Linked DNA regions of Zea mays. The protein of the gene in region 2 interacts with the protein of the main gene of each other region in a pairwise test. Links are inferred from orthologs where the notes say so. Each region holds a gene or a part of one and is shown on either strand. Other genes may lie near its edges.

Evidence for each region.
Region 1: the proteins of anaphase-promoting complex subunit 2 (region 2) and Anaphase-promoting complex subunit 11 interact in binary tests that used the Arabidopsis thaliana proteins (3 or more experiments, as listed by UniProt). The link is inferred for Zea mays from reciprocal best matches to the Arabidopsis thaliana genes APC2 and APC11.
Region 3: the proteins of anaphase-promoting complex subunit 2 (region 2) and Cell division cycle protein 27 homolog B interact in binary tests that used the Arabidopsis thaliana proteins (3 or more experiments, as listed by UniProt). The link is inferred for Zea mays from reciprocal best matches to the Arabidopsis thaliana genes APC2 and HBT.

Annotation. Positions count from the first base shown.
Region 1 is NC_050096.1:47,775,898-47,783,435, forward strand, and holds Anaphase-promoting complex subunit 11, read left to right. Parts: upstream 1-3,671; 5' UTR 3,672-3,949; exon of another isoform or gene 3,950-4,125; intron 4,126-4,242; 5' UTR 4,243-4,280; intron 4,281-5,588; 5' UTR 5,589-5,596; coding exon 5,597-5,851; 3' UTR 5,852-6,088; downstream 6,089-7,538. UniProt on the Arabidopsis thaliana protein: Component of the anaphase promoting complex/cyclosome (APC/C), a cell cycle-regulated E3 ubiquitin-protein ligase complex that controls progression through mitosis and the G1 phase of the cell cycle.
Region 2 is NC_050100.1:59,055,565-59,062,276, reverse strand, and holds the end of anaphase-promoting complex subunit 2, read right to left. Parts: intron 3,746-6,712; coding exon 3,626-3,745; intron 3,535-3,625; coding exon 3,446-3,534; intron 3,377-3,445; coding exon 3,295-3,376; intron 3,137-3,294; coding exon 2,945-3,136; intron 2,857-2,944; coding exon 2,788-2,856; intron 2,681-2,787; coding exon 2,558-2,680; 3' UTR 2,298-2,557; downstream 1-2,297. UniProt on the Arabidopsis thaliana protein: Component of the anaphase promoting complex/cyclosome (APC/C), a cell cycle-regulated E3 ubiquitin-protein ligase complex that controls progression through mitosis and the G1 phase of the cell cycle.
Region 3 is NC_050098.1:172,619,066-172,626,366, reverse strand, and holds the start of Cell division cycle protein 27 homolog B, read right to left. Parts: upstream 4,659-7,301; 5' UTR 4,534-4,658; coding exon 4,429-4,533; intron 3,499-4,428; coding exon 3,426-3,498; intron 3,330-3,425; coding exon 3,220-3,329; intron 2,126-3,219; coding exon 2,079-2,125; intron 1,994-2,078; coding exon 1,896-1,993; intron 1,393-1,895; coding exon 1,094-1,392; intron 261-1,093; coding exon 117-260; intron 1-116. UniProt on the Arabidopsis thaliana protein: Component of the anaphase promoting complex/cyclosome (APC/C), a cell cycle-regulated E3 ubiquitin-protein ligase complex that controls progression through mitosis and the G1 phase of the cell cycle.

The DNA.
Region 1 (7,538 bases), on a different chromosome or scaffold from region 2:
GCGCTTCGAGAAACCCACAGTCCAACAGTGCCACGTCCCATCAACGGTCACCTCAAAAACCCCCGCGGGGCCACTTCGAGCGAGGGCAGCGTCTCCACCATCTAGCGACGTCTTCGGCACCAGATGACTCAGTCGAACTGGTCCCTCAAAGGGCAAATGTTGGGGCGAAGGCGAAGACGCTACCCTTCGTGCGAAGTCTTCATTGCCTCGCTACACCAACGAATGCGAGACGATCGGCGCAGCTACCCTTCATCCTCTCCATTGCAAGGCGAAGGCTAGTCTCCGACGGAGTCTGCTAGTCCCACGTCCTCATCTCGCCTGGAGGCCCACGTGGAATTCAGCTCACTGTAACGGGCCCCGCGTGGGCAAGCACATTACGGGCCTCATCTGTAATAACTTTTCTATAATGACGGTCTGTAACCTCCCTTTATGGGAATATTCTAGGGATAGTCTGGTTACCCGAGGCATAAACGTACTTGCCTTGGGACGTTGGCCGCTCGAGTACCTATAAATACCCCCGTACAGTGCCCTTGAGAGGCCAGATTAACAGAGCAATTGCCATCTCGCGAGTGAACTTTGTTAGTATTTTTCCCACACCCCCGTTAGATCAACTTGCCCAGGAGAGCAAGTTGCAACAATTTCAAACGATTAAAATGGTGCCAACCAATTAGGATCTGCCACATCATCAAGATACAAGTTAGTACCAACAGAGTCTCCAATGTGCTGGTCAATACCGACCAATTTGGTCCCAACATGATCGATACTGACTAGGTCGACCGTCCCACTAGATATAGCCCTGCCTAACTATCGTGGTTTCCGAAACCTAGGGACAATAAGATTGTGTTCGGCAGAGGTGTTAGCGCCGACTCACTCTGAATGGTGAGCTATAGGGGTCTCGAGGGTGGATCTGATGCGAGTTGGTTATACTGGTTCAGACCAAAGCCCTAGTCCAGTGTGGTGCTGACAGTAGTATTGCTTAGAGCGTATTATAGTCGGTGCTGGTGTGAAGTTGTAGAGATATGTGATGATGTTTGGATGGGGTTGTCTTGCCCTTTTATAGCGCAATGGTAGACGTTACAATGCAGAATAGTATTCCACTGGTGTGGAGTTCGGCTTCCTGCTTCTAGGCCTTGTAGCCACTATGGCGTCGTCTGTTGGGTCCTGCTTCTAGGCCTCGTAGCCCATGTGGATTCGTTTGTCGAGGCATGCGCCGTCGTACCCCTGGTATGGCGTTATGTCCTATTCGCCTTCTGATGGGTTCCTATAGCTACTTTGATTTAGACGTGGTAGTGCTTGGTGAGTTCTGTTGAGTCAGCTCATGACATGGCTTAGGGATGTCTTCGCCTTCCATCATGCCCTTAGCGTCACCTTTCATCATGCGTAGGCGCACGTCTGGTACGACGTAATGTCCCATCCCCTTCGGCGTATGGGTCACTATAGAGACCACGATGTTGAGGTCTTTAAGGTCGAGGTCGTTTGGTCCTACTGTTCAACAAGGATACGTATCCGGTGTCGTGCTTGACAGAGTCCCCTCGGTACCGCTTCCATAGTTCGGGCATGGCTCGGTGATGTCCCATCGTGTCGACGTGGCTTGATAGTACTAGGTCGGTTCATTGTCGTCTTTCTAGGTTGCTCGACGGGCAGGATGGTCGGCAGCCTCGCCTCGTTGGGTTGGTCAGCAGCCTTGCCCCGCTGGGTTGGTTGATAGCCTCGCCCCGTTGGGTTGCTAGGCAGCCCCGCCTCACTAGGTTGCTCGGCAGCTCTGCCTCGCTGGGGTGCTCGGCGAATATTTGTTCGGCGGGCGGGCTGGTCGGCTTGGCAGGCTGTCCCCGGTTGGCCCTTTGGACCTTCCCGCCGAGCTGCTTGGTAGGTGGGTCGCCCGGTTCGTGAGCCATCTTCGAGGGGTCTTGCGACCTTCTTTGGGTACCCTGTTCCCAGGTACCCAACACTAACCTAAGCCTACTAGTTTTTGACTTGCCCATAAGACTAGGTGGATAACAAAACACACATAAGTCTAAGTGGACAACATATATATTACTACTTAGGTAGGATCTAACTAGAGCAGCTACCGACCGGTGCGATGGAGCCATAGCAGTCAACTACTTATGTAGGATCTAACTAGAGCCACTACCGATCGGTGCGATGGAGCAATAGCGGTTGGTACCGGCCACACACATAGTCACATGGAGGGGTCAAATGGTGGCCGACTTAGTCCAAGCAGGGCTATATCTAGTGGAAGCGACATCGCCGAGCACCTGGGAGGCAATGACAGTGAAAAGCTGTTAAACAGTCTGTGCACGAGGTGAGCCATGTGAGGACACTACATCGGTGTTAAGCGATTCGGGACACGATAATGACAAGAATGTGGGAGGTTATGGCGAGGCGAGGCGTCTTCCCATCTATTTCTTCCCCTCACATCTCCATCCTAACCCTAGCAGTCAAATACATTAGGAGTGGTAGGAGGAGCACATAGGCAGATGTGTACCTACGGACAAGAGAAGCACTGAGAGAAAGTATAATAAGTCATAGTGGCCCATTATGGCCCTCACCATACCTAAACTACTCGACCCAACCCAACAGAGGAAGTGAGGAACCTTAACTCCTCCTTGCATTACATCCCACTTGGTCACTTGTCTCCGCCTACGTGCCTCGCCACCTCCCACTTCCCATTATCGTCTTCTATGAGGTATTGTCTCCTTTGAGGCTCCTAGCCGTGAGCTACCTGCCACCACCCACTCCGTGTGACCCAAAGCTCTAACCTTCGGATGCCAGCGCTCCACCACCCGCTCCTGGCTCCACGCCTCCACCTCTGGCACTCTTGCCTAAAGGTGGGACAACACCCCTCCCGATGTACCACCTCGCTCTGTGCACGACACGTGGGACCCTCCCGATGCCCACGCTCAGCGCCTTCATGGTGGTACCCCCATAAGTCGTTTCTCGCTCCCCTTTGGCCTCTAGCACTCCTACTCGGCTCCTCTACGACAAGACCATGCCCCTCCCGATCTGCCATCTGCCTCCGCATGCACGCAGCCGCTCCTCTAGTTCCATGGCGTGCAACTGAGCCGTCTACAACTTTGCCTTCTCCCACATTATCTAGGCTCACGTGTAGGTGCTCGCACCGTGATATGGTGCGCACGAGCATGTTCACCTTCGTGCCCTGCTGGCATAGTCTGCCGCCACCGTGCGTCTACCGTCGACAACAAGCGCCCGCCAGTCGACACCGCCTCAGAGCATGTCATCCGACCGCTCGATAGTCGATACGTTCCTCGTTGCCATACTGAAATTTGTAGTCGTGCTCCATCACTGGTAGGCGGACTGTAAGAGATAACAAATTAGATTTATGGTGATATGAAAGAAAGAGAAATAGAGAGAAGAGAAGCATACTGCTCACTAGTATTCCATTGAAAATGTACAACTAGTGTTATAAGAGAGAGAGAGAGTGGTGGACCAAATATTAAATTTACAAACTATTATTATGAGAGAGTTATTTTATGTTAGACTTTTAGTTGGCCATATATAATATAACAACATTATTAAACTTACTATGCTCTATATTATTAAACGGGGTCCCATTATTAAACTTGCTGTAACATATATATATTTTTTTAAAAAAACTGCAATCACTTATCTCTGAAGGCCTACTTGATGAAATGAAATGCCAACAAATAGTTAAAGGCCTGCCTCAGCCCATCTTCACTCCCTCCCGATGCCCTAACCCACGGTTACGACTCCGACGACGCCACCCCGGCGGCCTGCTGCCCAGCTCCCTCTGCCTTCGCGCAGTGCCTCCTACCCTTTTGAATCCGCGCCGTGCCACCCGAGTCCAGGCCGGCAGGCCCCCAGGGTGCGAGGGCGGCACCGGCGCAGGCGAACCGCAGTCCGCGCCTCCGCACTCCGCCCCATCCGAAGCTCCGAGCAGAGCAGGAGCAGCAAAGCAAGCGAGCGTCAGGTTAGCACTCTGCAGCCCACCAGGCACAAGTCCACGGCTCACCGGGCGGGCACTGGCGACCGCTACCTGGCCGCCAGCGGCGCTGTCCTCCAACCGCTATTGCGTATCTACTGTCTTCCGGCTTCTGCGTCTGAGCATCTCTTGTGACGGGTGAATACAGAGAAATAGAGTATTGGGTACTGAGTTTGAGTAATGAGCAGGGACAAATGTTTGAAATTGCCGATTGCAATCTGTGAACTGCTAGATGGATTGGGGCAAATTCCTGATGTGCTTTTTTTTTCTTGTATTGGCAGACTGGCTGAATCGAGAGGTGGAGGCAGCAACCAACAAGGCAAGTTATTTGTATTAGCAAATGTAACATGCATTTTTCCCCCTGAGGTTTAAACATTTTGGTAAACTTTTTACTTGCATGTTGGCATGTTACATTTGCAGTACTAAAAGAAATTATGTTAACTTGGACCACCCTTTCTTAAAATCCTGGATACGCCATTCATGGGCAGTGCCGGGTCAGGCCTCAGGCAGTCAGGGCTGAGTGTGCCACAAGTGGATCATTGGAGGGGAGGAAGAAGCTGACCACTGTGTCTCCATCGGAGTCGGGCCTAGTGGGTTGATCAACATGGTTGTTTGTTAGTTGGTCATGGTGCGTGCTGTCGGTTTACTTGGTGAGGAAGCATAACATCTATGGAGCAATGCCAAACTTTGTATTAAGGAGATCTACAGAGCGTGAAACCAGCCCGATCTATGTGCGAACGTAGGCTTGGCGCTGGAGGCCAGCACTGAATTGGCCCAGTAATTACCACTTACCAGGGATACTAGCTTTAGCCCAATAGTGCAGTCTCTCATCCGGTCATCCCCCTTCCCCTCTCCCCTCCCTCCAAGCCAGTGAGCACGGGGTCTTATACCAGCCGCTGCTCCCACATCCCACACCACCAACTTTCATGACCTCTCGGATCATGCCATATGCTCCAGTGCCTCTGCCTTATTAGTTGGCTCCCCTTCTCTGGCTTCCACTGTGCTGGCGGATGCCCAGTCTGTGCATGTCCCTTCTCTCGTTCTTGCTCCCAGATTAAGAAGTTACAAAGTTATTGATTCCCAAATAACTGGAGAGAATCACAAATTGGTAATGCCATTTTCACGACTTCTTGGTCTATTTCAGTCTAATGTTAGTTGTTGCGTCGGTTATGATGTCAGTTATGATGTACGATGATACTAGGATTTAGCTTGAGTTTATTTAAACTTATCTCGTGTAACAGTTAGCAATCCTGTTGATCCAGTTCCGGCGCACTGTTTCTTATGTCACATCCAGCAACTCTGAAGGATCTTTTCAATCTCTAGTTCGTGTCCTAGTCTCTCCTCTCCACTGGTGCTGGCATTGCTGTTAGGAGACCTCTGGATTTGGGGTTATATTTTGGTGGGAAACCCTAAATGTGGATCAATTGTTTTTTTCCTGTAAGAGTCACTCTGCAGTAATATGTTAAAGCCCAAATATCTCATTCTCTTCATCAGTTGATTGAGGATTTCTTTTCTGCGTAGTGGACTACTAATTCAAACTGCCCATACATTACTTGTTCAATGGATTCTGCATATGACAAGATGCAGTGAATAAAACGTCTCTTGTTTATATATTGTTGCATTCCAGGTAGCACTATGAAGGTCAAGATTCTTCAGTGGCATGCAGTGGCTTCTTGGACGTGGGATGCACAGGATGAGACATGTGGCATATGCAGGATGGCTTTTGATGGCTGCTGTCCTGACTGTAAGTTCCCTGGTGATGATTGCCCACTCATTTGGGGTGTCTGCAACCATGCTTATCATCTTCACTGCATACTGAAGTGGGTCAATTCTCAAACATCCACACCCCTTTGCCCCATGTGCCGTAGAGAGTGGCAGTTTAAGGGCTAAGGTACTATGGACATCTAGAACTGCACCAAGCGACTCTCAGTTCTCAGAGAAGACTGATGTTTTTCTGGTACTTCTGTGATGCTTTATTTTAACTACTACATATTGTTTTCCGTACTTAGTATAAATCCTGATGTCAGCGCCTGATCCTGTGTATGCTTCCAAGCTTGTAGTGGAACAAATGAAATTATTGCTTTTCTTAGGGCTGATTTCCTAATCTTATCCCATATTGGTTTGTTCTTATTGTTTATCTTCTGAAGGATTACAAGAAGTCTAGTATCAGAGCTAGGCAATTGATTGGATTCTGTTCTGGTAGGGTATTCTAAGTACTGCATAACAATGAGGAGAAAACTGCATAGTGTATTAGGCTATTAGCCCCACTTGCTTTCATCTCTATTCTTTACTTCCACAACAAGAATGATCTATCGATTAGCAGGGCTCAATTCAAGATCCTATACTAGTACTGAACTTTGAGGGTCGTGTGCTAGGTCATTCTGGAAAGGGAGCATATGGAATACAAAGATAGAAGTAACCGTGCATGAAAGTTTCTGCTATTCTAGTAAATTATCTCGTCCGTTCCTTAAAATTGTATGCCTCTTCCAGTTTGTAGGGTACTTCTGTTTCTTCCATACCAATGTTAGCAATGGTGCCATACAGCACTAATAAAACCTTTAAACTTATGCAGTTGCATGGGGGCTGTTACTGCTTATAACAACAACTCCGAGGGACTCTTTATACCCTTCTTAATTTATAGGAAACAAATACCCTCCAACAGCCGGATCTCTAAATATAGACACTCTATTCCAGATTTCTCACTAGCCAAAGATAGATAGTGAGGATGACTTTCTAGAGTGTGCACAAGATATAGGAAATTTATTGGAGAATACAGAGATATTGAGAGCGAGTTTTATTCAAATGACTATCCAAACGATAATTTAGAGAGTTAGTTTTAGAAAGACTCTTAGGGCTAGTTTGGGAACTACATTTTCCCATGGGATTTCTATTTTCCCAAGGGAAAATGAACTAATTTCCCTTAGGAAAATGGAAATCCCTTGGGAAAATGTGGTTCCCAAACTAGCCCTTAGAGATGTTCTAAGCCTCCCACATTGCACATTATCGCTGTGATTTCGACAGGTTGGATGGCTAATTTAGTTACTCTTCACCTTTCTAGAAAGGCATGTACTTTTTGTTCCTTATTAAAATTGGAGTTCTAGTCATTACAAGTGCATTTAGACTTATTATATAAGCCTCCTAAAATTTACTCAATAGTGTAAGATCTGGTGCACTTTATGACTCTTTCCCTGTTCGGAGCCACCTCTTTAGGGCTTGTTCGTTTTGGTGATAATCCACATGTATTGGGTGGGATTGAGCCGGTTTAAACCCATAACAAGTCAAAATCCACCCCAATCCCACCCAATACACTCTAATACACATGTAATATCAATAACCGAACAAGCCCTTAGGGTTTGTTCGGTTAGGTCTCAATCCATGTGGATTGAGTGTGATTAGGTGAGTTTAAATCTCAAGCAAGTCAAAGTTCTTCTAAATTTTTTTCAATCTCATCCAATCCATATATAATGGGAATAACCGAACAAGGCCTTATTTGGTTGTGAAGTTGTGGGAGTATACCGACTGCACCGACTGAGGCTCAAATTGTGGTTGTTCAATTTGAGGCGCGGTGCATTGTTTT
Region 2 (6,712 bases):
GTGTGCATAATGCAGTTTCCCAGTTATTAGTTCATGCTGGTTACCTTTAGCGTCTTTTCCCAGAAGACGCGGGGGCAAGAGCCAAAGATTCCGAGTCTCTGAGTCAGGTCAAGCTTTGTTATCCACCCACAGATTGTTCCTTACTTATCACTGAAGCAAAAGGACAAAGGTCCCTAGTAGCTAGCAGGAAAGAGGTGTAAGAAAGTATAGGAGAGAAGAACGACAGAGCATAGTGGAAGACAGATGTGGACTCCTGTGACTCCTGTCTCGTGCCTAGGCATCTAGGAAAGATGACGAGACGGAAATTTCGCTGGACTGTTACAGCTGAGTGGAGTCAAAGCTAATCGCCAACCGCGTGGAAACAGTCGAAAATGCCTCTGCGATGAGCACGTCAGTGAAATCAAGCAGATCGAAGTCTGCGAGCTACAAACAAAAACGCAGCATCCGGCCTGGCGGCCCCGTTGCATGCTTCCCTCCAGGAGAATCACTGGTTTGCTCGGTTTCCCGTCACTTGCATTTTGTTCGATCCCTCTATTGTTACACGGAAGAGATGAACGCGGAGTGGGATAAACCTGAGCAGGAACGGACCTCGTCGACGAATGCGGGGCGGCGCGGCGCCAGCGAAGCTTCTCCTCGACTAGGCAGTCCCATCCCTACCGATGGATGTTTGGACTGGACTTGGGGCGCGCGCGCGCACACACACAGAGTCATCGGTATCCCAACCCTCGACCACGGGAGCGTCCCTCGCTCTTCCCGGCCATGGTGCAGCCGGCGAGAGGATTCGTCGCGGCGCCAGTTTCGTTGGGCCCCGAGTGGCGCGTGCGTGGGCCTGCAGCCCGCAAAATGTACTGGAAAGTGGGCTAAACAACGGTTTCCCATATCTGGATTAAGATTCCAGGATGCGCGTTACAGTAGTTTTCTATAAAGACAACATAGTGTAAAAATAATTAAGGTGTTAATACAGTAACATTGAATCTTGTTCATCAAATTCAGCATCTATGACTTAGTGCAATATCATCTCCTCCTAAACTATTTTCTAAAGAACTAAGTCTTCGTATGATAGGATGTGCGTGGGATTTAACTCAATCGTAGATAGTGAATCTGATGGACAAGACTTGGTGTTAGTATATTAGTGTGCTAATAGTTTTTACACTAAATATGCTGTTTTTTTAATTCAAATCTATTTTTCTAATGATAAGGAAAGGAAGTGTTATTTGGTGTGGACCTTCACTCTCTGTTTTATAAAGATGTTTTATAAAGATACGATTCTCATTTCACATCTTTATAATAAATTAGTTGCATAGCAGATCACAAAGTGTATTATTAGGTTATCTCTAGTAGCTTAACCATCATCATCCATATATTTAAACTTTACTATGTAAACAGTATAATCTACAGTGCAAACCAGTTTTTTATGATCATATGAGTAAACTGTTGTAGACTGTCTTATATTTTATGATGTCAACTAGTTCTCATACAGTTAAAAATAATATCATTAATCACCCTATCATTCTTTATCATGGTCCAAATCACTACCTTAGCATTTTTATTATTATTGAAACTATCCACATCGTCACATAACTATTCACGTATTGGATAGGGGTGTAACAATAGCAATAATAACTTGCGATAGTGAATGCTAAGTGCTACAAGGTTGATTCCAACCATTCCTACTCTCATTTCCCTCTATTCATACTTTCTATTTATTTTTAAATACATCCCCTCTTTTATTACTCTCCCTATTTATCTTATCCAATCATTTCCACTATTTGGCTTCCCTTTATGTTTTAACTAAGCTATTTAACTCATATACAATAAATTTTTGGAGTTAAAAAATGTACGATATTCGTATTTGTGCTATTGCAATACGCATTGTTTTCTGGTTAAGAAGTTTAGAATAGATTAATTTCGTAAATAATCACAGTCATTAACAAATGAGAGATTACATCTCCTACATCCGATGAGATTTTTCTCTCACCTAATATTCCATGGAAAGGGACTTAGGGAGATGACGTCGTTGGACGGCTCATCCCCGTTCGTACACGTGGAAGAGGGGAGAGGGAGTCGTAGCCTGACGTCAGCATCTGCCTCTAGCAAATTGTGTATATAGATCTTGTTTGGGACAATTTTAGCTCAAAAAAATTGATAGAGTTGGTATAACAAATCAGATGCTTCAGAAAATCGTGAATCTAGAGTTATAAGACTTTAAAAAACATTTAGTTAAATTATTTTATTTATTATTTAGATTATAAATACTTTAAAACTATTTAAATAAACTGACATAAACTACAGCTCCATACTGGATCTAGAACCTAGAGCCATCTCAAATACCTCCATAGTAACACCTTCATAGTCATTGTTTACATAATGAAGTTTAAAATAAAGGAGGATGTGAGATAGGATATGTAAGCTGCCTCTGAACCCGATAACATAGCTTTGATAATGAAGTGTGTTATATCTGATTACCTGACATCTCTAGTCTAAACAACTCATTAGCAAATAGTACAAGTGTACAACCCTAGTCTAACAACCCACTATCCTAGTATAGAAACGGCTGCTACCTCTTTAGCAAGTACAGCCCATCCCTCGTTTCTAGCTTTTCATCTGCTACTAGACCAGAAAGAAAACTTTGCAGCTGCTGCAGCGACTTGTCATACGATGGCTCGGCAATACAAAACATCTGCAAAATGAGAAAAAAAAATGAAAAGAGATCAAAATGTGAAACATAAAAAAAAACCAGTATATCAGATAAGGGGAATGCCGACCAACCATCTTTTGTGCCATTACCTTTAGAGTGTTATGTATCCTGTCCAGCGACATACTCCCAAAATTTGTTAGCATTCCGACGATGTATTTCTGCGGTGCGTACAGCGTCCCAATGTTTGAAAGGTGAGCACAAACAAAATGTAAACGTATTTATTCAGTATTTCATTTTGAGCCATACCTCGTAGACTGTCATTTCTTTCTTAAGCTGTTCCTCCACTGAAGCCACAGAGCTTTCACCTTCCTCCTCAGTCATCTGATACTCTGCCATGCGTTCATTCACAATACTGTCCTTGTTGACATCAGACATGCTATCGACAACAGTGAAGGTGCGATCATCGGCATCTGGTCCTGCTGATTCAGTCAGGACCCCCTATATCATCACATCACAGAAGCTATCAGCAACAGCCAATATACAATAATAATGATTATGCTCCAACAGTCATGTTAGCATGTTCTGCATGATGACAAGCATATTTCACATAAAAAAAAATAAAGCAACAATTATCCGCTGATACATGTGTGCCAGACCTTGCTTGTCCAGAAACTTATTCTTCTGTTAAGAGAATCCATAGGTATGCCAATTTCTGTAGCAAGTGCCTTTGAAGTCCAACTAGAAAGTTCGATAGATTTAGTCAAAAGAGTACAAATGATACATGCAATAATACAGTTCTTTGAATACCTAGATTTCTCTTGAAACCGCATTATGATTGCAGCATGCACAGGAGCTACAGTAAATTGCACGCTTCTTCCGTCAAATTGCAGTTCTAACTGCAAGAGCAAAGAAAGTTATAACTTATACCCGCTTCTCATAGCAAGATATGTTTCCATAGTACCCATTAATTAAATATGTTTTTCCAACCTTAACTGTTCCAAGATTTTTCTTCCATAATAGCTTTCGTGGAGTTTTTATCTGGTGAAATCGTTTTGCGTAATCCGATAGCAACTGATCAACTGAAGCAGGAACAACAAGGTCTTCTATCTGCATTCATACCGGACACAAGAGGCCGGTGAAGAAAAAAGAGCATACAAGAGATAGAAAATACTGACTGTTCAAATTATCTCCTAAAAATGATGTTCCGTCACGAAAATACTAGTGTTACGTGAACTAAGATATACACAAAAAATGTTGGTGTACAATTTTTTGACAGTCAATTACCCTAACAGCATTGAAATACTTTAGTTATTTAACAGTTACGATGACATATGCAGTGGTTAATGAAGCATATGTCTCTTGCTTCGACAGGATAGCATGCTAATTGATGCAGAACTGATCTTGTCAATTCGGAGTTTAGTATTTGATTGACTAATGAGTCAGAAACTCTCAGAACATATCGATTTTAAAACTGTCACTACATTCTGACTCATTAGTCAATCAGTATCTCCACATCATGATTAGTATAGCTTGAAGATACTGAGATTCTTCTTCGGCGTACAAACTTTCTATATGCCTCCATAGTGGTTCCCGCTGCTGTTTTCCCTCAAAAAAAGTCGATAGACCCTGACTCGCTAGTCATCTCAGACTTTTTTTAACGTAATGGCAGGAGCTCTGCCTCTCAATTAAGAAGAAAGGAATTGATCCAGTTTTAAGGAAAACCGGGCCCAAAACCTATACAAGGTGCCCAAGCAACCTAAACGACGACAGCCCATACACAAAGCCCATTCAGAGTCATCGTTACCGAGCTCAACACAAAGGATGGGCAGCTCCGACTCCCCAAGACAGACAACACATGACCAAAGGAAACCTGACGACGTCTACACCCACAACACCAGCACAGGAGGAAGACCGCGGTGTGTCGTCGTTGCCAAGCCTTGAGACACCCCACGTAAGGTAGCTTCGATTCTTCACCAACGAGACTTCCAAACAAGATCCTCCGCCCCACCCCACCCCGCATACGCCCAACCTCCGAAGCAGTCCAGTCCACGATGAAGGGGGGTTCGCCACATGTCATCGCTGTCGAGCCACATCCTCTGACGTAGTAGCTTCGACTTCACGTTGCAAGCCCGCACCTCCACCCGCCTACCGAACAACGAGAAGCGAAACCAACAACCGAGAGACGACGTCGTGGCCGAGACGAACTTCAAAAGCGATGTCTTCAAGGAGTGACGTCGGGGACACCATCGTCGCATGTCTGAGATGGACCGGTCTTTCGCCCATGGAAGACAATGCTGAAGAATGTGACGCCCTCAGCAGGGGAAGCAATGCCCACAGGCGTCACCGTCGTCGAGGCTTTTGCCCAAGAAGCCCCCAACACAATGTCAGGCCAAGACCCCGGTCAAAGCAAGCAACCTCTGTCGTCGTTGTTGTCCTGACACCTCACACAAACCCTTCCAGAGGGGCGACGACGCGTCGGCTGCCGCAGCAGCCGCAAAGCTGCGTTGGTTTGTCATCCCCTCTTGCTAGGCACACAGAAACCGAGCAACACCAAGCCGCGTGCAACACACTGCCACGCGTCGAAGCCACTGTCGCCAGCCGCCACCAGCCCTGGCAACCGCGGTCACCAAAGCAAGCAAACACCAGACGCGAGTGCCACGCGACTCGCCGCCAGCAGCACATGGTGCCGCACCCCCCGCCGGCCAGATCTGGCAGGAGCAGCCGCTGGCCGGCCGCGCCATCAACAGCCCACCGAACATGATGTTGCGCCTACACCTGGCAACGACGCCCTCGTCCTCCTCGACCGATTTCGCCAAGATGTAGATGCTGGCACCGGGAAAAGCGGGCGAGGGCCGAATGAGCACTTCGAGCGCTTTAGGTGGAGCTGGTGCGCCCGAAGCTCATTCAGGACGATGGCGACTTGCTGCAGATGCTCTGCCCATGACGAGCTGTAGATAAGAATGTCGTCGAAGAAGACGAGCACAAACCTCCTTAGGTACGGCCGTAGGACGTCGTTCATCAAGGCCTGGAATGTCGCCGGGGCATTGGAAAGCCCGAACGGCATCACTAGGAACTCATAGTGGCCATGATGAGTGCGGAACGCCGTCTTGGCGATGTCGTCGACGCACATCCGCACCTGATGATAGCCCGAGCGCAAATCGAGCTTGGTGAAGAAGCGAGCCCCATGGAGCTCGTCGAGAAGCTCGTCCACGACGGGTATGGGAAACTTGTCCTTGGCAGTCTTGGCGTTGAGGGCGCGGTAGTCGATGCAGAAACGCCAGGACTTATCCGCCTTGCGAACAAGGAGTACCGGCGCCGAGAATGGCGAGGTGCTAGGGCGGATAATCCCCTGGGTGAGCATGGCGTCGCACTGGCGCTCCAGCTCATCCTTCTGCAGCTGGGGGTATCGGTATGGTCGCACGGCGACCGGTGCTGTTCCCGGGAGCAGATGGATGCGATGGTCGTATGGTCGGGCCGGCGGCAGGCCTCGGGGCTCCTCGAATGTGGAGGCATGCTGAAGAAGAAGCCGGTCCAGCATGGGTTGCTGGTCACTTGCGGCTACCACCGCTGCTACGGAGGCTCGAGGGTCAGGAGGGTCGGCACCCCCGATGCCCCGCCACAATACACGGTGGTCGTCGCGCTGGAATGCCATCGTCATGGCCTCGAGGTCCCAAGTGATGGGCCCTAAGGTCCGCAGGTAGTCGACGCCGAGGATGAAGTCGAAGCAACCCAAGTCGAGGCCGACGCACGTGATGGAGAAGTGCTCGTTCTCGATGGAGATGGGCACATCGCGGGCCACCCCGGCGCAGCGAAGGTTGTCACCATTTGCGACAGTGACCCTGAGGTGCTCCCCTGCGGCGGGTACCAGCCCCAAACGACGCATGGTGGCACTCTGGAGGAAGTTATGCGTGGAGCCGGTGTCCAACAGAGCCATAAGTCGCTCCCCCTTGACCATCACCGGAAGCACCATGGAGCTCTCTGTGCGAATGCCTGCGAGTGCCTGGAGGGAGACCACAAAAGCAATAGCGGCCTCAGGGTCCTGGACGGACGCAGCCTGCAGTCCTGCGTCATCGG
Region 3 (7,301 bases), on a different chromosome or scaffold from region 2:
ACAGGCCATTAAAAGTCATGAGCAAACCATGGAAGTTCTAAAGATCGGGAAACAGGCAGGTACAGAAGTTACAAGTAGTGGCATCCAGTAATAGCAATCAAATGAAAGAACCTAACCTTCTTTAGCCTTGCTTCATCCATGTATTTCCTTCTGAGTGGCTGGCTTACTCCATTAGCTTTCTGCTTAGTGGGAGCATCGCCACTTATTGTATTCTGGTAAGCATGTACATTCCTAAATAGTGGTGGTGGCATGATAGAAGTCTGCATAATTAAATTAAATAAAATGAAACTCAGCTGACACTAAAATAATTTCAAAACTGAAGAAGTTAAATCGCCAAGCACAACTGACTCAAAATTGTGTAAAACAACTCAACAGTTAAGACACAGTTGTGATTGACCAAATGACCAAGCAACAGTGCCACACAGCTCTGTATCATCAGAATGTTGTTCACTAGACACAGATGATAGATACTTCCCAAGGGCATACTCGGTGTTGAAAGCTCCCACACAAGGTGGGATCTAGCGAAGGGAACTCTAGGCAGCCATTGTTTTGCTTATTTCGCATTTCGCAAGGAGGCCGATGGGAATCCAGAACGTCCAAAACAAGTGGAGACTCTACCGCTGCACCAGACCCACCCTTCTATTCCCACCATTCCAAATTGTAAGTTAATGTGGACTAGAGACAGTGTATATTTAGATGCATAGCAAAAGCTGTGCACCTAGAAAAGCCAGAACGACTTGCATTTTAGAATGGAGGGAATACTTCATTGCAAGGGAAAATGATTTTCTTTAGAAAAAAAGGTAGATGGGGCAAGATAGATGAACAAAACAAGTTCTGGGGTCAGGACAATTCTTGAAGGTCTAAAACAAGCCATCTGAGCAAGTGTCAAATAATTGGGAACATATGAGACACCGGGGTCTAAAACAAGCCATCTGAGACAGTGTCAAATAATTGGAAACATAAGAGAAACCAAGCTACCAGTGCTTTTTAACATGGTTCTACCAACTGATGATTACATTTAGTCTCCTATTACTATTAGGTGCACATTGGCAAAAAAAAATCATAAGTGAAGAATCAAACAGGTTGTATTGACCTGTGCTGCAGCTGGTGATGGGGTGTCAAACTGTGATACATTAGAAGTTGAACTGTTCTGCACATGCAATGCGGTTGGTCTTACATGAGGATAACCAGATACTTCTGTTATGTTGTTAGCATGAAGCTGTTTGATTTGCTTAGGAATAATATCCCCAAAACTTGCAGAGACACTGGATGATAGAACTCGATTTTCATTGGCAAAGTTCGACTTCACCAAAGTGGACGTGGATGTGTGTTCCTGCTGGAGACGTAGAGCAGTCGATTCACTAAAACACTCATCGGTATCTTCGGCAATACCTATAAGACAAAGACACGTTTTTAATGTATGTTTATGGCTTCAAACTTTAAATTGAGAGTGACTCCTTGCAAGCAAAAAGGCAAGGATTAATGAATCATAGTGTAACTTCTACAGTAAGGCAAAAGGAAATACTGCCCACCAGGTATGAGCCAGTAACAACGAATGGCGGAATGGCAAGCTAATTGATGATGATTGAAATCCATCGGATAGAGAATTTACTGCAGTAATGCTCAAATGCTCTGAATTTACAGGAACAAACATATTTCTACAGGTTAACATAGAAGACAACAATATATGAGAAATGTCTATGAAGGCCATATTCAAATCCACTAGATGTAGCATATTCAGTAACACGCATTCAAATCACCATTTCATTTCTATTTCTACACCTTCAAAGGTTAAGATATGAGGCAATAGTATACTTCATGCAACTAGTCCTAATATATCACAATTGCTATAGACCTACCACAGAACTTCATATATGGGTGTAAAATGAACCAACCTAATATACACAATTCCTCATATGCCGCCCATAAAAGAGGATCTAGAGTCAACGCTTGTGTAAATTGTTCAGCTGCAGCTGAAATTCTGCCTGTGCACCTGCACACAGTTGAGATAAATATCTGAACTCTGAAGAAATATAGAATGCAGCAACATGGATTCAGTTAAGCCATGAATAATAAACCTGTAGATCACTCCAAGGAGGTAGTGTCCTGTTGCTCCACTTGGAACCTGCAGAAGGATGAAACTAATACTAGAAACAAGCTGACCCAATACAGGAATTAAAACAAACAAATGTGATTGATTTTATTTTCTAAGTATCTACTTCACCTCTGTAGAATCAGTGAGGAACCTGGCTGGTGCCAAGGGGCTTTCCTTTTTGGCCAGCCAAACTACCTAGCTCCTAGGGCTGTAGTGTTTTTTATCCAGTTTTATGGATAGCTTTGTGTATGCTTGTTTCTGGCCTCCATAAGGAGTGCTTGTACCTGGGTCCTTATGGCCCTTTATTTTCCCTCTACTTTAATATATGGGTGCGCAGTCCTCCTGCGCTCTTTCGAGAAAAAAAACCTCAGCTGAACATCGTGCCCCAGGTGAAAAACAAATGAAAAAAAGAGAGTTTCAAGCCAATCCATGCTGTGCCAGCACGTACCTTGTAATACTAATGCTTCTCTCGTATAACATAAAACAACCAGACTTTCTAACAATAAAGGGGAATAAACATACATAAGACTTTGGCCTTGGAAACAAATTTGGTGTGAAACACCGCAGGAAAAATAAAACAATCAGGCCTAGTATTATTTAAAAGAACCAGTAAATGTTCTCACTGAACTAGCTATGGAATTTCTAGTTCACAAACCAACAAGTGCATCATGCACCTCCCTTTATTCAAAACTGGAACCCCATAAGGAAACAAACTATTGTTACCAATATTTTATTTTTCAAACTAATGTAGTGCTGTCAAGTCCCTTTTGAATATTATGTTGTTAATATAGTTTATTACTGAGCGAAAAATACTTTGCTGCTATAATACCACCACACTTTCTTCTACACAAAAACAGACACACTCAAGTTTTCACACACCAATTTGTTGCACAAAGGCAAACGAATGAGATATTCACAACAACAGCAACAAACAACACACAAAGCCTTTTAGTCCCAAACAAATTAGGATAGGCTAGAGTTGAAACCCAACATAAACCACAAATCAAGGTTCACTCACGTTCTACATGTTTTCTTTTGGGTTTCATCTCCAATAGAATGGCTAGGTTCGTGTTCAACGTTAGAGATATTTACATAAACAAATCACTCTAAAATATGATTTATACCTCCATGTTTGGCTCATTGACTGGACATAGAATTTCTTCTGCTTCACGCAAGAGGTTCATTCGAAAGCATGATGTAGCAAACAAGTACCGGGACTCCGGCAGCTTCTTCCCTTCATATAACATCAGAAACAAAATCCATAAACCATCCAAACTACCTTTATATAATATATGTGTTACATGGCGAGCATATAACCATCCAAACTTACCTTTCAAAACGTGATATGCAGCATATGGCTGATTGTTGTGTAGGTAGCAGGTTGCTAGCAATTGCACATTGGTCTGTGCAGAGGAGGTAGAGCAAGAACATTTAGTGCCCACAACTATGTTGCAAATGGACTTAAAATTAAAAAAAATAAACTAAGATTTTTTGTGAGCAAGAATTACTAATTGAAAAGAAAGCATTGTAAAGCAGGCACAGATTCAGGTTAATCAGTGAGGTCATCTGCTAAGAAATTGAATGCATAGTCTCATACACACTAAACATGCATTCAAGTTATGTCGACTTTCATCCCACATGAAGACCTATGATCCACATCAAGAACCTAAATAAAAACTAAAACACAAAACCATGCATTCAAATTCCTGAACTTCATCCCACATGAAGACCCATGAACCACGTCAAGAACCAAAATTAAAATTAAAACCCACACCCTCAAGTAATTATAAGGTTAGAAAAGAAAGTGGGTGAGCATGTCCTGTAAGAACATAGAATTCAAGCAACTGAATACCTAATGGGCTATAAATATTGTCACCCCAAGGTTCTGACAAGGAAAAGAACTCACAGGCATACACGTTACTGTAACCAATGCCCATTATGCATAAACACCAGTAGAGCTTTTACCTGTGAAATTGCCTCAAAAATTTAGGCAGAAAATCACCCTCTCCAGTAAAAGTTCACTATGAACCCTAGATGAATCACGCGGGATACTCCAGTTCCCTACACCAGCTATAGAGAGCTGTTCTAATTCAAGCCTAGATAAGCTACAGACCAAAAGCTCACCACTCTGCTACTCTACTCCTAATGCAACCCTAGACACTTCAAAAAAAACGACAGAAGACTACTGAATCGAACTAAACAACGGAGGTGAGCCCCGCGCTCAAATCACTGCCACACGCCTGATCCGACCCCCAGATGTACCATTCCCACGCGCAATACACCGAATCGAGACGTACTAGCCTCGTTAAGGAACATGGATAAAAGGGGGCTACCTCGGAGGGGAACTGTGCGCAGAGGCGCTCGCAGAGGAATATGGCGTTGCGGTACATGAAGAGGCGGAGGCTACTGTGGACGCGGTCTACCATTAGGGTTTCCATCGCCGCCCAGCGGCGGCGGCGAGCGCGGGTGGGCGATATCAAGGGGATTGGGGAAGTAGTGCGGTGGCCGAAACGCAGGCGGCAGGCGCAGCAGGGGAGTGTGAGTGTCCGGACTCTGGTCGTTTGAATCAGCCGTTTGAATCCAGCAGGCTCTTGATTTTTGGGTGCGATGCGATCTGATAGGGCATTCCAAGTTTCCAACGAGTGCCGTGCCTGTGCGAAACAGCCGAGTTACATGGCCGACAAGTGGGCCATAGGGTTCGCTCCGAATATGTGAACGTTGGACAAGCCCGGCTGGGTTATTTGCTATTACAGTTTGAATGTGGATGTTGGAAAGCATGAAAATTGAATTGGGTTCAATTACAAATCAAACATGATACTGAAATGAGATATAATTTCAAATATATTGTTTGGATGTTATTGAATTAGAGTTTGGATTTGTGTGGTCCAATTCCACTCAATACAGAGGAGTAGTGCTCTGTATTAGGAGACGGAATTTCTAGTTATAGTCCAATTCTATGGAATTAGGTCTCTGATTCCAAATCTCAATTTCATGTACAACAAAATAATAAAATTCTAGAAATCTGATTCCAATTTCTAATCATGTGCTCCAATATCTACATACAAACGGGGTATACTGGTTTAAAGTGGCTTCTTCATCATAATAGTACTATATAATATAGTGTTTGGTTTGAGTAATGAGCTAGTCCATCATCTTCTAGCTCCTCACTTTTTTTGTTTGGTTTATGAAATGGAATGAATTGATCCATCACCAACTCATTCATCATAGTTAGTTAGTTAGTTAATACTAATATGAGAAATAGACTTATCCCAACAAATTTGAAGAATTGACCCATGATGCACCACCTCATTTTAGATAGAAGGATTCCTCAACCCAAAAACCCCCTAACAGATTAGGTTTATCTATAATACTCAACTTATCTAAAATAGTACTCCCTCTGTTTTAAAATATATTTCGTTTGACTTTTTCAACCCAACTTTGATCACTCCTCTTATTCAAAAAAAATCCATGGAAAATGAAAAAAAATCTAAATCATATGTCCCTAGAAATGATTGAGACAAGTGCCAATATCGAATGCCAGGAGAAAGCTACGAAGTGTTCGCCTTGTCCCCTAGAGAGGTCATAGACTACCCTATTTATATGCCTAAGGGGAGCACGTCTTTGTAGATGAGGCTGCTTGCCTGCTGCGGAGGGTGTCTTCACGTCCTGTAGACAGCAAGGCCTTTGTACTTCGTTGTTCACTTGAATTCGCTGGTTTCCCGCTGAGAGCCGAGGCTAAGGCTGAGGGTTTGGCTCTATGCCCGAGCCCTCAGGGGAGGGCTACCCATATCGTAGTGGTTGTAATAGGGCTTAGTTATGGAGAAAAGCCACTTGCGGGATGTGTCAGCGCTTCTGTATCTGATGACATTGGGGTGCCCTTGGCTGCAGATATCGAGATCGGAGCCGAGTTCGGGCAAGGCGGAAGTCTTCCCGAGGTGATGGCTGAATCCTTACTGATGTGTGCCACAGTCGACGGAGTGGTTTCCTGCAGGATTCGTGGTATAGCAGGTAGCCGAGGCCAAGCTCGAGCGAGGCGAAAGCGGTATCTGAGGGTGAGCTTGGCGTTGGGCGAGGCGGAGTTTGGGCCCGAGGGCTAGTCCGCTCTTCTGTTGTATTAAACATCCCGTCAGGGGATGGCATGCGACGTGCGTGCACAGTAGCGCGTGTGTAATCATGTTGTTGGTATTGGACAAGACCATAGTCGTCTTGTATTGTACGCCTGTAACCTTGCGTGGGGTAGGTACGCGCATTGAATGCGGCTGTTAGGGATGGCAATGGATGTGATTTATCCACGTACCCGCGGATAAAAAACCCGTTGGGCACGGTTTTGGGTACAAACCTGTACCCGTGGACACGGATACGGGTAGCATTTGGTATCCGTGGATATTTTTAAAACAGGTACGAACAATCAATATCCATATCTGAATACCCGAATATCCGTTAAAGTAACTCGACATGTGGGGTCACTGGAGTTTGGAACCACTTCACGGACCACAGCCAGCCCAACTGCCCAAGTCCCGTACTCCCGTTGCCACAACTGCAGCTATTGTTTGTGAGAAACTGGGAATATTTTATGACTTAACCATGTTGTTTTCTGGGACCAAATATATTACAGCTAGTCTTTTCTTTCCTAAAGTGTGTGAAGTTAAACTTATAGTGGGCAAACGGATATATCCGCGGATATCCGTTACCCGCGGGTAATGGATGTGGATACTGTTTTTATTCGTAGCGGGTAACGGGTATGGGTTCGGATATCGGATATAAGTCACGGATATGGATGTCTAGAGACACTATCCATGGATAGTTTATCTGTTGCCATCCCTAGCGGGTGTCCCCCACCTGCCTTCGGGCTCGCTTTGTCCTTATCACCTGAGACAGGTTCGGGCAAGGCGGACAAGGCGGTCCTAAGGCGAGGGTGCCTCGGGCGAGGCAGAGACCCTCCCGAGTATGTGACCAACTTGAGGTTCGGCTCGGGCGAGTCAGAGATTTTGGGAGGCCCTCGTGGGGAGCTTTTGTGGGGATGGCTCTTGACACGGACCTCGGGACAGGCGGAGGTTGGGGGTTTGTTTTTTAGGGGTGTCCCTAGAATTTTAAGCCTATTTTGGGGGTGCAGTTTGGTACCCCTAATTGTCATACCCGACAAAAGGAGTATTTCATTCTTAACGTAAAATAAGAAAACTCGAAACGATCAGTTTTGGAAAGGGGG